Linked DNA regions of Oryzias latipes. The protein of the gene in region 2 interacts with the protein of the main gene of each other region in a pairwise test. Links are inferred from orthologs where the notes say so. Each region holds a gene or a part of one and is shown on either strand. Other genes may lie near its edges.

Region 1 (5,040 bases), on a different chromosome or scaffold from region 2:
ACACAAAATATCACCATTTTGTCCGGTTTCTACTTCTACAAAGTCCTTTTCTACTTGATAAGTGCCTTTTCAGTAAAATGGAACGACTTGTTTGAAGTCAAGAAATCTTGAAAATCTTCAGTTATTTTATTTTATTCTCAAGTTTTGCATAAAAAAGACAGTCTTTTTCTACTTAGAATTTAGTTTTTTGTACCATTTAAGGTGTATTGCGTAACATTTTGAAATAAATATATTTATTTTTTTTACAAAAGAAGCTGAGGTTTTGCAAACAAAGATCGGCTCAATAATGTGATTTGACCCTTTCACACCTGAATTTATTTCCAACTATGAAAAACGAAAAGTTTACTCATGTTTTTGCTTTCGAGTAGATTAGGGTAATTTTAGAATCGAAAGGCTTTGATGTATATTTCCATCAATAGATTAAAAGTCAATACTAAGAGCAAATTGTAGAGTAAAAAAATACTCAAAAAGGCCCTGAACCACTGAGGATTAAAGATATAAAACTCTTTTTTGATCAATAGACACTTATCATAAGACACATTTCTACTTGTCAGAGCAAAATACCGTAATTTAAACGTTTAGAATTTCATTTCAAAAGGGCAGGACAACGCACAATGTTTCAAAAACAATTTACCAAAACAAATTCGACCAGTTCTATTGGCTTTTTTTTTAACTTATCACAAGAGAAAAACGTCTTTTTTTTCCAAATATTTTACTTGTTTTGATGGCATTTTTCCAATTGAAAGGACATATTTAAAAAAAGATAACGCCAAGCTCCTCAGCACCAGCCATTTCTTTAGATTGATGGGTGACATCATGTGACCTCCAATGCGCCCCCTCCGCCCTGTTAGCTGCAGCTCGGGATAAACAGCCTCCACCTGTGAGTCTGCCTTAGCGCTCCAACGACTCAGCTATCTTCAATCAGTAATTTAGTATTTTCAAAGCCAGACCGCCGCCGCCTTGCATCAGCCTGTTTCTCTGATTAGCTGCCAGGCTCGGCTGAAAGAACAAACTTTGAAATTTGTATTAAAAAAACGAAATTTAATGATGACATGACATGTAAAGAGCAACAAAACGGCTTAAATATGACATTTCTGAATAATGTACTGTTACATTAAATATGCGTCAGTGGGTATAACAGCATAAATGGAACATATTTTACATATTTACAGTTCTTGTGCATTTATTGAAGGTTGCCGCACATCCGGCGAGTCGTTCTCACGCAGAATAAGTTCTTCCCGACTGGCATGGTCATATTTTCTCCTCAGAGAGAACCGTTTTTCACAGGACGTGGTAGACGGGTCTGGATCCAGAGTTCTCAGGAGTGCAGGGCTGAGAGTCGGAGCTGCTGGGGGAGAAGGTTGCGGCGTCCCTCAGGGCAGCCGGTCCACCGCTGGACTCCACGGAGGACAGGCGGTCAACAATGCTCGACAGGCACTCCAGGCTGGAGGCGCCGGCTGTCTTGTTGTCCAAACTCTCTGGAATAAAAAAGATGCTCAGTCAGGTTCTCTCTGCATACACGGATCTCCATGAATTCCCCTTAAAGCAGCACATGTCAGACTGCAGCTGCTGTCAGAAAGTCTTACCATTCTTTGTATAAGAATAGCTGCTGCTGTAGTTTGCATTCAGCTGTTGCCACACCGGACTGCTGCCTCCTGCCTGGAAGGGCACAAGAAATGAAGAACTGTCCTTGAACTTTTGAAAACACAGAAACACACACACAACGGTTGCTGACACACAAAAATGAAGATGCAGTGGAAACACAAAAGCTTCCAACCTCCTTTAATATTCTGGACAGGCTTATAAATCCTGAATTCCAAAGTTATTGGCTTCTTTATTTCACCTTAAAGTCAAAGCCCCCCCCTCACCCCCTCGCTTTTCCATGCCCAGTTCCGACTGTGGCGAATTGATTCTGTCAGTGGAAGCAACACCAGTTTGTGCAAGATGACACTTTCTGCGAGTAAATCTGCAGAAAATCCTGGCAGCGGCGCCGAACATGCAGTCAGGATGGAATGCAGGAGTGCGCCCGCTTTTCCCTGCCAGACTTCATAAGCTGGATTTTCTTTGGTTTATTGAGGCTATAAAGCGCCCAGAGAGCATCAGAATGGGTCGCGTTATTGTCTGATCACACTGATGGGTGCTAATGAACGGAAACAAACACAAGAAAATGACCAAGCTGAGGCTGCAAAATGAATGAAAAGAAGAAACGCTGCATGAAAAAGATCCCAAATCGATTTTAGGTGTTTGAGTCTTAAGTGGTCGGCATCCATGCAGGCTAAGTCAGAGCTTCTGTAGATGTTTGAACATGCCTTACCATGCCATCGGAGCAGCTCGACAGAGGACTTCCAGGCTCAGAGCTGCTCTCTCCAGGCAGGCCGTAAAAGTTCTCCACCTGCTCCCGCAGCAGCTCCTGCAGGCTTTCGATGTACTGGATGGCGTTGCGCAGGATCTCCACCTTGGGAAGGCGCTGGCTTGGGTTGGCCGAGGTGCAGCGCCTCAGTGCTTCAAAGGCGTGGTTGACCTTTTTGAGCCGCCGGCGCTCCCGCATGGTGGCCGCCCGTCTGCGGTCCACAAAGCTGGATTTGCGCTTGCAGGCCTTGCAGGCCCACTGGAGGCAGTGTCCCGGCTGGTGGGGGGCTCCGGGAACCCTGACGTGCTCGTCCTCCTCAGAGCCGGTGAGCTCTAGGCTGGAGCCGAACTCCAGGTCGTCTGGGGACAAAGCACAAGCTCTGTCGTAGAAGGCCTGGGATGGAGAAAAAACATCCATGGCTGGGAGAAGAAGTGGATGGCAAGATGGCCAAAAGGGAAGGAAGGAGGTGCTGGATGAAAGAGAGGAGACTTCTGAGTGATATGAGGGGTCTGTTGCCCCAGGCCCCCCTTATATGTCCCCTGGCTGAAGCCCAGGGCCCACATTGGCCAGATCTAATTACCATGGCCCATTGGCCCAGCCTGAAGTTAGTTCAGCTCCCTCCCTGCCCCGTCCCTACTTCTCACCCCCCAGTACCCTGCCGAGTTTCCCACATCTGCAATCACTGGTGTTTTCCTACTCATCCCTGTATTCTCCTGCTTGCTCTTCTTCAGCGAAGATGGTGTATTGAAGACGCCTCTGCACCACCTTTCGCTGTGACACCCCGAATGAAGACGGCGAAGGCAAATTGCCTGGGAAAAATGTCCGGACCACTCTCTGGAGCGCGCGGGCCGCTTTTTACGGCACCGACGACAGCGTTGCAGATGCACCCCAGCTGCAAAGAAAGGTGTAACATTTCAAGCCCCGTGAACTTAGAATGGCGGCAAAGCCCCTCTAAACACCCAAACCCCATCATTCGGGGTGAAGCCATCGCTGGGCCCCAAACACAAACGACACCAACCTCCAAGGACCAAATTTGAACCATTAAAGGTTATTGCTGCCGGTCAGTTTGGGACACAGATGGTCAGGATGCTGCAGCAGCTGAAAAAAAGAGCAAGTTTAAGGAGGGTTCCTCCTTCAGGCAGAACTCCTGACTTATATTCACAAATAACTGTTCACATAAAAATAAATTGATATTAATGGAAGTCTTCCAAACTTTAGTTGGATGTATTTCTAACCTTTAAAATGAGGTGAAATGCATCTGATCGGCTACATTTAGAGGAATATTAAGCACCATCTGGATTTATTTACATACTTCTTGTACTAAACACTCACACGATTTTTCAAATTTTAGCTTTTAAAATATAAATCATGTTAACAAACCACCATGTTTGTTTGAAACAGCAATATAGATGTTGTTCCTTTTTTCCGTTGGTGTTACCCAAAAGTAGTCATTTTACTGTGAAAGAACTACAAGCTTGAGTTATGTTATCTATTTTTGGTGTACATCACTTTGTACTATATTAGAAATGTAATATGCCAATTAAATAAATATTGATTTGGTTTTCAAAATGATTTGATTTGATAAGCAAGAAAATATTAAAATACAATTTATTACACTCTACTTACTGTAAAACAGGTTTTTTCAGCAGGGTTCTACTCTGCAGTACATAAATCTCAGACATACAAAGTTTAGATTTTTTATTTTGTCTTAAGAAGTATTCAGTTAGAATACGTCCTAAACACACATACATGGTCTATAGTATACATGCTGTACTCGGGTTTGCTTAACCACCCTCTAGTATACTACCTTCTGCTTAGGGCAAAATAATTATTCATGATAGTTAGATAGATAGACGGACGGACGGACGGACGGACGGACAGACTTACGGACGGACAGACAGACAGACAGACAGACAGACAGACAGACAGACAGACAGACAGACAGACAGACAGACAGACAGACAGACAGACAGACAGACAGACAGACAGACAGACAGACAGACAGACAGACAGACAGATAGACAGATAGATAGATAGATAGATAGATAGATAGATAGATAGATAGATAGATAGATAGATAGATAGATAGATAGATAGATAGATAGATAGATAGATAGATAGATAGATAGATAGATAGATAGATAGATAGATAGATAGATAGATAGATAGATAGATAGATAGATAGATAGATAGATAGATAGATAGATAGATAGATAGATAGATAGATAGATAGATAGATAGATAGATAGATAGATAGATAGATAGATAGATAGATAGATAGATAGATAGATCTCCATATCAATCGATCGATTAGCTAAAAGTTTTACACCTGAAGTTCATTTTTTTAAGGATACTTCAGTATCAGTGAAGGTCTACTACAGACCCCATACTCGTAGTGTAGAAAGTATACAATTGAATTCTTCTTTAGATTGTATGAAAAACTAAACTTTAAGTATACTGCCTCACTTTTAGTACATAGGTATACTTGTAGTACACTTAAATAGACCACTTTTTGCAATGGTTAATACAGGTAAGTTGTGTTTAAATATAATGTAAACATGACATATTTTCTTTTTTTCCTTAGGAAATATGTTTATAATCCAGTTTACAACTTTGAACTCTGAGCTGAAGATTCTCTTCCGGTCGCTTCTCCACCGGGTGATTCGGTTGGTGACAGCTCACATGGATAC
Region 2 (4,150 bases):
TGTAACTGACTTTCACTAATATATATATATATATATATATATATATATATATATATATATATATATATATATATATATATATATATATATATATATATATATATATATATCATATACATTTGCAGCAAACTTTTGGCACGGCAGTCCACTGTGGGAATCTACCAGAAAGCAGTTCTGTCTGCCTCTGTCTCCCTCCCTCCCTGTCTCTCCGTTGGAGCGTTTCCCGGCCCATCTGCGGCCTGGCCCGTGGATTACTGTTTGTTAATGTTTCAATCAGCTGTGTGTTGAGGAATGTGGAGCTATTTAACCTGAACTTCCCCAGGTGTGCCGAGGCGCCGCTCAGTCTGGGCCCCGCCGCCCTCCCCTGCCCTTGGCACAAAGCTATCACACAAACACAATCACACACTGGCCACGCCGGGGCTGCAGCTGTGCGCATCGCACCGCAGGGAAATGGGAAAAACATTGCACCAGGGAGAAGGGATAAATCTTAAAACGCATCGCTTTGCCAAAGCCTTTTTAACCCCCGAGGTGCCGAGAGAGACGAGAGGTGCCTATGCACACGACGACACTCTGAAATACCAGAAAACTTTGTGAAACGTGTAACCCACCTTCTACACACAATACAAACCTTTATCTATGATGTTTACGCATGGATTTTACTGATTCATGCGCAGAGCGCACGTGGAATCACTCAGATGATCAAGTTTTATGCTTTTCATCAAGCTACCAACTGAAAAACTTCCTGTTGTATTGTGGATAACAAATGGTTTATCGTCTAATTAAACAGACTTTTTGCCAATTGTGTTTCCCAGCAGTTGCGGTTTGACGTCACCTGAATGACTTTAGTTTCTGGGGCTGCCAAACCTTTTAGTGACAATCTGTTTACCCTGACCAGGATCAGATAAGCCTTATTTCCTCGGAGGAACATTAGCAGACCTGCGTTTAAACTTAGTAATGAGGCTGTAAAACAGGCACTGAAGTAGAGTTTTTCCACCGCAAAGGTATGTGTGAAGATAAATCCGCCCTTCAAACTTTGTGAGGACTTTTCACTTTCGTTCTCGTTAAAACACACACTCAGGAGGATTCTTGTTCAAAAATAAGTCTTGTTTTAATAAAAACACAAAGTACATTGTAAGAAAACAATATCTTCACATATTGTGGCATTGTAATATACAATACAGTTTTGTCGCTCAGGAATCTGAGAAATTACTTTTTTTTTACAGAATGTTGAATTCTCTATTTGATTTACACAAATACAAAGGGCTTAACAAAGTCATTATGAAACTACGAGCAACAAGCTGGTTGCTCTCTGAGCTTGTCTTGGTCCCACGACTAACCCAGTCTATATCTGGACACACGCCGGTCCTCACATCGGAGCTCTCGGATGAATCGAGACCCCGTCACTCTTGAAGCATGTCCTCTCGATGATTTTATTTCTCTAGCTGTAGGAGTTTCAAACTCTCCCTCACAGTTCAAGACTCTAGAGGCCGATGTGCTCTGGCCGCTGCATCAGGTTGTCTTGTCCTCTCTGGAATGATGGGGGTTGGGGGGTGCTCCGCGGACCCTTAACGGCACATGATTCTCTCGTCTGAGCAGCCGTTCTGCGGGAGGAGAAAAAAAAAAGTGGGTCAGAAAGAGCTGGTCACAGATGAGCAACGATTACTGTCATGCGTAAATCGGCACTTTTTACGCACTAGACTGACTGGTCACTTTTACGCACACGTTTTAAATGCATGAATGAGTCACAAATGGCGCGTGTCTCTGTGTGAGACCCCAAAAGACACTTAAAGTGGGCTATTTACCTCCACTGCGATGCTCGCGAGCTCTGCGTTCAGTGTGGTCAGCGGCGTGCGCTGGCCGCTGGCCGCCGAGAGCTGGCGACTCTTCTCCGGCTCGTCCAACTCGATCTGCAGGTCCCAGATGTAGTCGATGACGTGCTGCAAGATTTCCACCTTGCTGGCTTTCTTGTTTGTGGGCAGCGTCGGGACGAGCTCCTTCAGCTTGCTGTAGCAGCTGTTCATGTCCTGGAGAAAGACGCTCATCTGTTCGTCCAGCAGCGGGAGCTTGCACTTGGAGATGGCCAGGCTCTGGTCGGACAGGCCCATCTCTCCGCTGACCTTGGTCTTCAGGGCACAGGTAGATCCGACAACCTTCATCTTTAATAGCGTAGCTTCCACAGACGCTGAAGATATTGGTCTTGAAAAGCGACTGCACAGGTCAATGTTGACAGTTTTCAACATCCACATGGAGAAGCCGTCTCTTTATAAAGCTCAGCAGCGTCTGGGGGTGTGTCCAGATCGTCCTGTTTGAAGGGAGCTGACCAATCCCATGGCTGCATATGCATTGATGGGGCGGCAAAAAACTAAACTCTCAGCCAACCACGGCGCTCGGCTGGTTATCGGAATTTACAATCTGTTTGAGGGATGGCGTTACAAATGGAAACAAATGTGTGTCTTTTATGAGTAATATGTGGGAATCCAGCTGTCCATGGCTTGGGGACTCTGCAGGTGTAGATTGCCCGGGGACAGTCAATGGGTGGTGAATGCATGGGGATGCACTGTGAGAATGTGTGTGGGATGAAGCTGGGCTGAAAAGGATGAATGCTTAATGACAATTTGGCTACTATGGTGCCCTAGATGTGTCTTTCACTCGTGATCGTGGGATAATAGCACTGTGGCGTCACACAGAGCAGGCAAAAAAATATTTGTCACGTTATTTAGTTTAGAATGATCCCAAATGCTCAGATTGAGCCTCTTTGTGCGTAAGCATGTTTCAGGGACGCAGCTGCAGCAGCAGATTCCTCCACATGTGTCTGCTGCGCGCGCTGGGCTTCGTGCGCACGCCCGCGCAGAGTCGCTCCCCCTTCAGATTGTCCAAACAAGCCCGAGCAGACTGGCAGGCGCCGGCGCGCTGACGTCACCCATTCATCCGCGCCTTGACGCCTGTCAGCCTGGCGCCGCTAGGGCGGTCTCCATGGAGATGTCAAACAAGGGAGCTAGCGCTGCGCACTTCTCCATTCACCTGCATGGCGCGCGGAGCCCTGAGAACAAACCGTCTCCAGAGTTTTTCCCCCTCCTCCATTTATCACCTAAAAGCAGCAGCGGGGTGAGATGACCGGCCAGCGCACCTGCGAAACCAAAGCCGGTCAGCTACGACAAATGAAGACCGGTCATCGTGTCCTTTCCACGTTTAAAAACCAATAACCATCACATTCCTCCCAACAGCCCACTTTCATATGGAGAGAAAGTCTAATTTCTCTCCATACTTTCACTTCTCGAAGTCCCTGTGGTTTCCATAAACACGCATTTTCTTTGCTTTTATATTCACTTAGATTGCCTCATTCATATCCAAAAATACGTTTTCGGCTCAAGGAATGCAGTTTCCTTTTTAGCATTTTAATTCCCTAAAGAGCTGGATTTCCTCCTTACTTCTTACTGCCCCTCTTTTTTTTGTTTTTTTTGTTGAAGCAGTCTATTAGATCGTATGGACTTTTTTCCCTTTATCTGAACATACATTTTACTACATATATGTATATATTCTAACAGAACCTAACAGAAAGAAAATGTATATATATAGCAGAGCTTCAATAAGATATATTTTTGCATAACAGCAATCTCTTATATATATTTCCTCTTGCTCAGTACACCTATAACTTATCACTGTTTTTGAATATAACAATGCCAAAACTATAATTTTGGTTCCACTTAAAGTGTTTTCTCAAGTCTTTTTTGTTGTTTTGGTGAATTGGAATTCAAGATTCATTTAGATTAAACTCGTGTTTTTGGTGTTTATACCATGTTCTTGTAGCATTTTCTCACCATGGAGGACATATAAAAAGAAAATTAAGCTTAAAGCTGTGTTTCAGAGTATTTCCTTATTGAATTTACTTGTGAATCGAGAGTAGGTGCAACAGCCAAAAGCTCCCTGCTCCGTTTCATTCCGATGCGTCCACTTGCAGGCAAATTGATCCAGTTACGTTTTTGTTTTCCTTGTCTTTGCTGGAATCTGGATCAAAACTGTACAGCTTGCTAGCTCCTATATGTCTCACCATTGTTGTTGCACTGCTAGTGTTGTTTTGAGGTTGTGAGGGACTGTAAGCTAGCGAGAGAAGTTTAAAAAAAAGAATGATGGTAAACTAGGTCAGGCTTAC
Region 3 (5,562 bases), on a different chromosome or scaffold from region 2:
GACTTTTGTTCCCCTTTTAACTCCCTTTTTAAAATAAAGACTTCATTAAGACATTTTTCATTTTTTACAAATCCACATTTCATGTTTTTCATCAGTGCGTGTTGTTTGAAACTGATAAGATATCAATTCAGGAAAAAAGAAGACTGAACAAAAAAACGAACAAAAAACAAATACTATTTTCCTGGCAGGAATGAGCCTCTAAAGGTTAAGAAGACCACAGAAGTTTTGAAAATGTTAAAAAGAATCTGCAGAGCCAAACTAATTAAACAGTTTCCATGTCTGTGAGCTCATTTCCACACGGTGCCACAGCATTGCTGTTCATCAAGGGTGTCAGGGTCTATAGATCCTGATAGATCAGGTTCGGGTCTTGGCTGGAGGCCGGAGAAGAGGTCGGAGCGGCCCGAGGGCCGCGCTCTGTCTCACTGAGCGCAGCGGCGGCCGGGGAGGCAGGAGCATCGGCCGTGGCTGGGAGGCAGCTGCTGTCGGTGGAGATCCGCTCCACAATGCTGGACAGGCAGTCCAGACTGGAGACGACGGAGCTGCGGTCATTCCTGTGGCCTCCTACGGCAGAAAACACCGTCAGTCAAACATGATTCAAACTAGACTGTGAGGTCACTCCTCTATGTGTGAATAAAACCTGTAAACAGCTGTGTGCAGACTATTTATTGGTGTGTGTGTGTGTGGGTGTGTGTGTGTGTGTGTGAGAACCAAGTCATGCAGTTTACTTATGACACTCTTGACTCTGTATTATCCACTGCTCCCCCACCCCCCATCTCTAACATCCACTCTCTCTCTTCTTGTTTTCCGTCCGGTCCAACAAAGAATGCATATAAACATAATTATTATGAATAAAGCCTAACCTCAAATACATAAGGGGTTTACACCAATTGATACCATTGTCCAGGGAAATACTCGATTCTGATTGGCTGCTGGGTGTGGATAAAAATGTGTTAATGTACATCTAAAAAGCAGTTCCGGTCACATATCTTAAATGTTCTGTATCAGAATCTTTAGCTTCATCATCTGGACAAAAATGATCAGTGACAGGAGAACTTTCTCTCTGAACTGATGCTTTATTCAACCCATCGTGATCATCAGCATAGATATCACTTTCCTTTGCCGCACCACTCGAGGTTGGCTAAGTGGCATGTTACTGTGACAACAGGCTGCACCGCATGACAAATAGTTCGCTTTTGTGAAAAAGCAATCTAAACCGTAAAAATGACCAGAATAAAGTACTGGTTGACTATTTATTTATTTTGAAAGTCACCATGGTATAAGTGAGTAGATTTACTTCAAAGTGTTCATATTTTTAATGCACTTTGCAGTTCAACGCAGGCTTACACGGCAAGCGTTAATAATGCACCCTTTGAAGGATATTAACCCCTAAATAAATTGTGTTTGTCTAAAGATCCATAAAGTCCTGTTGTAAAAGTAAAATTTGTCCAACACAAGAGGCCTTCAGCTCTGACATACTTGCTCAGCTGTAAATATAGATATAGATATATATCTATATATATATCCTTTTTCTCATTTATAGAATTTATAGAGAATGTCATTGTTTTCTTTAACCTCATGAAAACTAAATTTATTTAGCAAAAATAAAAGCACATCTTTGGCTTCATGAACAGATTTAGTTAGATTGCAAACGCTTTATCATTTCAGATGAGCAATGCTGTCGGCTGGTTAAAGCGCAAATCGGATCTTTCCTGTGTAAAATGTTGGCGCGTGACGCGGCCCCCTCTGGCCCGCGCGCAGCTCACCGTTCAGAGCCTCGGAGAAGTAGGAGCCGCCGTCATAACTCCCCTTTTGCGTCGTCTGACACCTCGGTCCATTAAAGTCAGTCTGGAATAAAACACAATGCTTTTTTTAGAGCACGCCAAAAGAGTAAATAAAACACAATTTACACAATGTCACATTTTTGAAATATCAACACAAGGGATATTTTCCGATAGTAAACACTCGTGTATTTTTAAACTGGAATATATATATATATATATATGGGCTTTCTTTGAACAAACAAGCACAAAACAGCAGCAACAATATTATTATTTCATCTTCCTGAGTGTTTCGCACGCGTTATAAAAGGAAATTTGTCAAATAATAGAAATCCTAATGACGGGACTCGTATGTTTTATGAAGGAAATTCGTTTGAATAAATCCGGATGTTTGGTGCAAATTATAACCGATTTTTATTCAAGCAGCGAACTGCTCCAAACGACGCTGTCAGTCTATTCAAGAAATACGTAAAAAAGATTTTCACGATTAAAAAAAAAAAAGAAAAGGTTTTACGTTTAAAAATCTTATTTTCGGGAGAGGTAGTAACTGGTAATCCTCTGAATTAACTGAGTAACGCGCCTGTATAATCGAATCTAAAACGGTGAAAGTTGCCTTTCCTTTTTCTTTTCTTTTTTACTGAAGTTTTGTAAAAACTTGTGCCGTCATGAAACGACTAACTAAGTCAAGACTCCATGCGTAAAGACGCGCTGTAGCTCCAGCCTTCGCAGCTTGTCCGAACAGCGGACTCACCATTCCGTCAGAGCAGTTGGAGCGGGGGCTGGACGCGTCCGAGTCCCCGCTGTAGTGCTCCAACACCGGGTAGAAGCCATCCTCCTGGCCGGCGCGCAGCAGCGCCTGCAGGGACTCGATGTAGCTGATGGCGTTGCGCAGGATCTCCACCTTGGGCAGCCTCTGGTTGGGGTTGGCTGACGTGCAGCGCTTCAGCGTTTCGAAGGCGTCATTGACCTTGCTGAGGCGCCGGCGCTCGCGCAGCGTCGCTGCCTTGCGTCTGTCTGCGTTGGTGGTTTTCCGCTTGCAGGCTTTGCAGGCCCACAGCAGGCAGCGGCCCGCCTGGTGGTGGCCACTGGGCGCACGGACGTGCTCATCGTCCTCCACCTCCGCGCGCTGGTGCACATGGAGGACGGAGGACGGGGAGGAGGAGGACGAGCAAGGAGAGGATGAGGGGGAAGAAGAGGAGTCATCCGGCTTCAGCAGACCGCCATGGACTAGCCGTGGGTCTAGGTCCTCGAAGAAGTGCATGTCACTTGTGTTAAAACAGGGGTCATCATAGAAATCATCAGCAGCCGGGATGGGGAAAGGAATATCCGACAGCTCCATGACCCGGTCCAAAACAGGCCCGCAGAAAAGAAATACTGAGATCAACGGGCCGAGCCGAGCTATCCAGCAAACCGAAGAGAGACTCGCGATCCGCGGGTCCGGTAATGTGGGTCCTGTCAGGAGTTTTGAACTGGACTACTGCTGACCTGAAGCCTCTTATACCTGGCACATCAGCAGCAGGCAGGGGGGCCAAGGGGTCAGAGGAGTGTGACCAATCGGTGGGCAGCTGCAGGGGTGTGCGTGTGTGTAAGTGGAGGGGTTACAACTGCACGGTAATTAGAGGCCTGCAGTTAACGGAACAGCTAAAGGAAGGCCGCACACGCATTTCCGCCTTACACACCCGTGTTCAAGCGCCTCTTTGAATGCGCACACACCAGAATTTGGGGCTGTGGCGTCTGGAAGGCTAGCGGTCGCACATCACCAGCAGGTTTTTAAGTTGGGTGCGGAGCCTACAAACAAATCAAGCGTTCGTTGGTCGCGCGCTGAAAGTTCAACCGGTTGAACTTTTTCACGCTGAATCTCAGCAACGCAGCGCTGTGACCAATCAGAAATTAGGATTTGATAGTGTTTGTAGCGTCTTTTCAAGAAACAGTTATCAACCGTTGTAAACATGATCACTAAGGAGAAATGAATAATTGCGGTTTGTTTTTGGCCGGAATAAAATGACACCAAGATGGACATTTATAGGAACAGATCTGTGAAAACAAAAAGGCTGGAGCAAGATTTGAGGGAATTGAACCGCTTTGATTTTGCAGATCGAACCTCTTCCAATAAGTTGATTTAATTACAATAAATATATTGTAGGTGGCGGAGGAGCGCTGATGAAAAGAAGAACCGCCCCTGCAGGTACCTGCGTGTCTGGCGCTGGTCCGTCCGGTCTGTACACCGAATGAGTGTTCATGAAACTGCGTGGAGCGCGCTCTGGAACGCACCTTCACATGCGCACACACCACTCTTTTTTTTGTTTTCATTGTAAGTAGGAAAAATGAGGCAATTCAGAATGTCAGAGACAAATGAAATGTTTGCACTGAAAGAAAAGACTGTCAGCAGAACATTTAATGAGCAGCAAGAAATGTGTGAAAAGCTGGCAATGCAAGACGAGCTTTGGTTGTTTTTAGAGCTATTTTGAAAAACAAATGAAGTCTCTTTTTTTTTTAAAAAACACCACAAAGTTGTTGTTTTAATGGAGAAAAATGGCATGAAAAAAAGGTTTTGCTTTCCCATATTCAAAAAGTCGGTATTTATTCTAAACTACAACAATAGTTGTGAAAATAATGCTAACTGAGTGTCTCTGTGCTTTGGTTTTCATGTATTCACATCAATTCTACTCAGAAATGATCTTAATAATTTTCAAAATCTACTTTTCTTTTTGTTATTTGCACATATTTACGTAGGACCAGACAGAAAAACACTTAATATGTGCGGCCAAGAGACACATTGTGGTGTTGATCCCCCCCACACATTCGCATTGCGTCTCAGGGTAAATGTTGTCGTCAGTGGCGGACTTTAGAGTTCGGAGGCCCCTGGCGAATAACAACGGTTGTATTTTATTTTTTAAATCCTTACATTTAGGGTAAAACATAAGAGAACTTTCTAGCTCTGTTATGGAGTTCAACAACCCAGATTACAGATATCCAGCTTGACTCCTCCTCTTGACATCAATTTTTTTACCCAGAAGCGTCGCTCAGCAGGGACTCTAGTAGGCGTGGTTACGTCATCACATGTCGAGCACATTGACTGTCAGCAGTCGAGCTGTTTGTTAAGACCAGACATTGTTGCCAGTGTGGGCTCATTGTTGTGATGGGAATCCTGGATCGGCTCACTAAAAAGAGCCTCTCAGCTCCCAAAAGACTTTTTTGGTTTTTGTTGCTTTATTTCAGTCAGAATGAAGCATATAAGATGAATAAGTGTAAAAAAAAAGTTGTTATTCATACATGTGTATGATATGTATGTTATTTATTCCTTCCAGATAAAACGTGCAAAAAAACAAAAAAACAAAACCAGCTGTTTACAATTCAACTTTTAATTATTTATATTTTTATCTTGCTCTTATTAAACAAGTTTGAAGCGAATCAACACAATCCGGAATAAAAGTAAAGATGTGCAAGCCGAAGAAAAGACTAAATATTTGGCATTTAGAAATTCCAAATGTCTATCAAGTTATATTTACGCCACCACATAGCAAACAAAACTTTCTAAGCTGCAAATGAAAATATTAAATATTTGCTTTCACATACTTTTTCTTTGCTTTCAAAAAATTTTTTTGCGTGTCATAGGTTTCAGCTTAGCGTGACATAGCTGCCATATGTCACACTAAACTGAAAACGCGAGACATTTTTAAAAGCAAAAAAAAGAAAGCGAAACCAAAAAGTATTTGAAAGCAAACATTTAATATTTTCATTTGCAACTTAGAAAGCTTTGTTTGCAATAAGGTGGCATAAATAT

Evidence for each region. The genes of interacting proteins can lie anywhere in the genome.
Region 1: the proteins of DNA-binding protein inhibitor ID-1 (region 2) and myf5 interact in binary tests that used the Homo sapiens proteins (3 or more experiments, as listed by UniProt). The link is inferred for Oryzias latipes from reciprocal best matches to the Homo sapiens genes ID1 and MYF5.
Region 3: the proteins of DNA-binding protein inhibitor ID-1 (region 2) and myod1 interact in a two-hybrid assay, tested with the Homo sapiens proteins (5 studies listed by BioGRID). The link is inferred for Oryzias latipes from reciprocal best matches to the Homo sapiens genes ID1 and MYOD1.

Annotation. Positions count from the first base shown.
Region 1 is NC_019881.2:19,172,645-19,177,684, forward strand, and holds myf5 (myogenic factor 5), read right to left. Parts: upstream 3,043-5,040; 5' UTR 2,768-3,042; coding exon 2,315-2,767; intron 1,660-2,314; coding exon 1,587-1,659; intron 1,479-1,586; coding exon 1,282-1,478; 3' UTR 1,021-1,281; downstream 1-1,020.
Region 2 is NC_019863.2:26,015,350-26,019,499, forward strand, and holds DNA-binding protein inhibitor ID-1, read right to left. Parts: upstream 2,252-4,150; 5' UTR 2,247-2,251; coding exon 1,803-2,246; intron 1,602-1,802; coding exon 1,566-1,601; 3' UTR 1,084-1,565; downstream 1-1,083. UniProt on the Homo sapiens protein: Transcriptional regulator (lacking a basic DNA binding domain) which negatively regulates the basic helix-loop-helix (bHLH) transcription factors by forming heterodimers and inhibiting their DNA binding and transcriptional activity.
Region 3 is NC_019864.2:6,432,230-6,437,791, forward strand, and holds the start of myod1 (myoblast determination protein 1), read right to left. Parts: upstream 3,321-5,562; 5' UTR 3,118-3,320; coding exon 2,530-3,117; intron 1,846-2,529; coding exon 1,764-1,845; intron 562-1,763; coding exon 338-561; 3' UTR 1-337. UniProt on the Homo sapiens protein: Acts as a transcriptional activator that promotes transcription of muscle-specific target genes and plays a role in muscle differentiation. Together with MYF5 and MYOG, co-occupies muscle-specific gene promoter core region during myogenesis.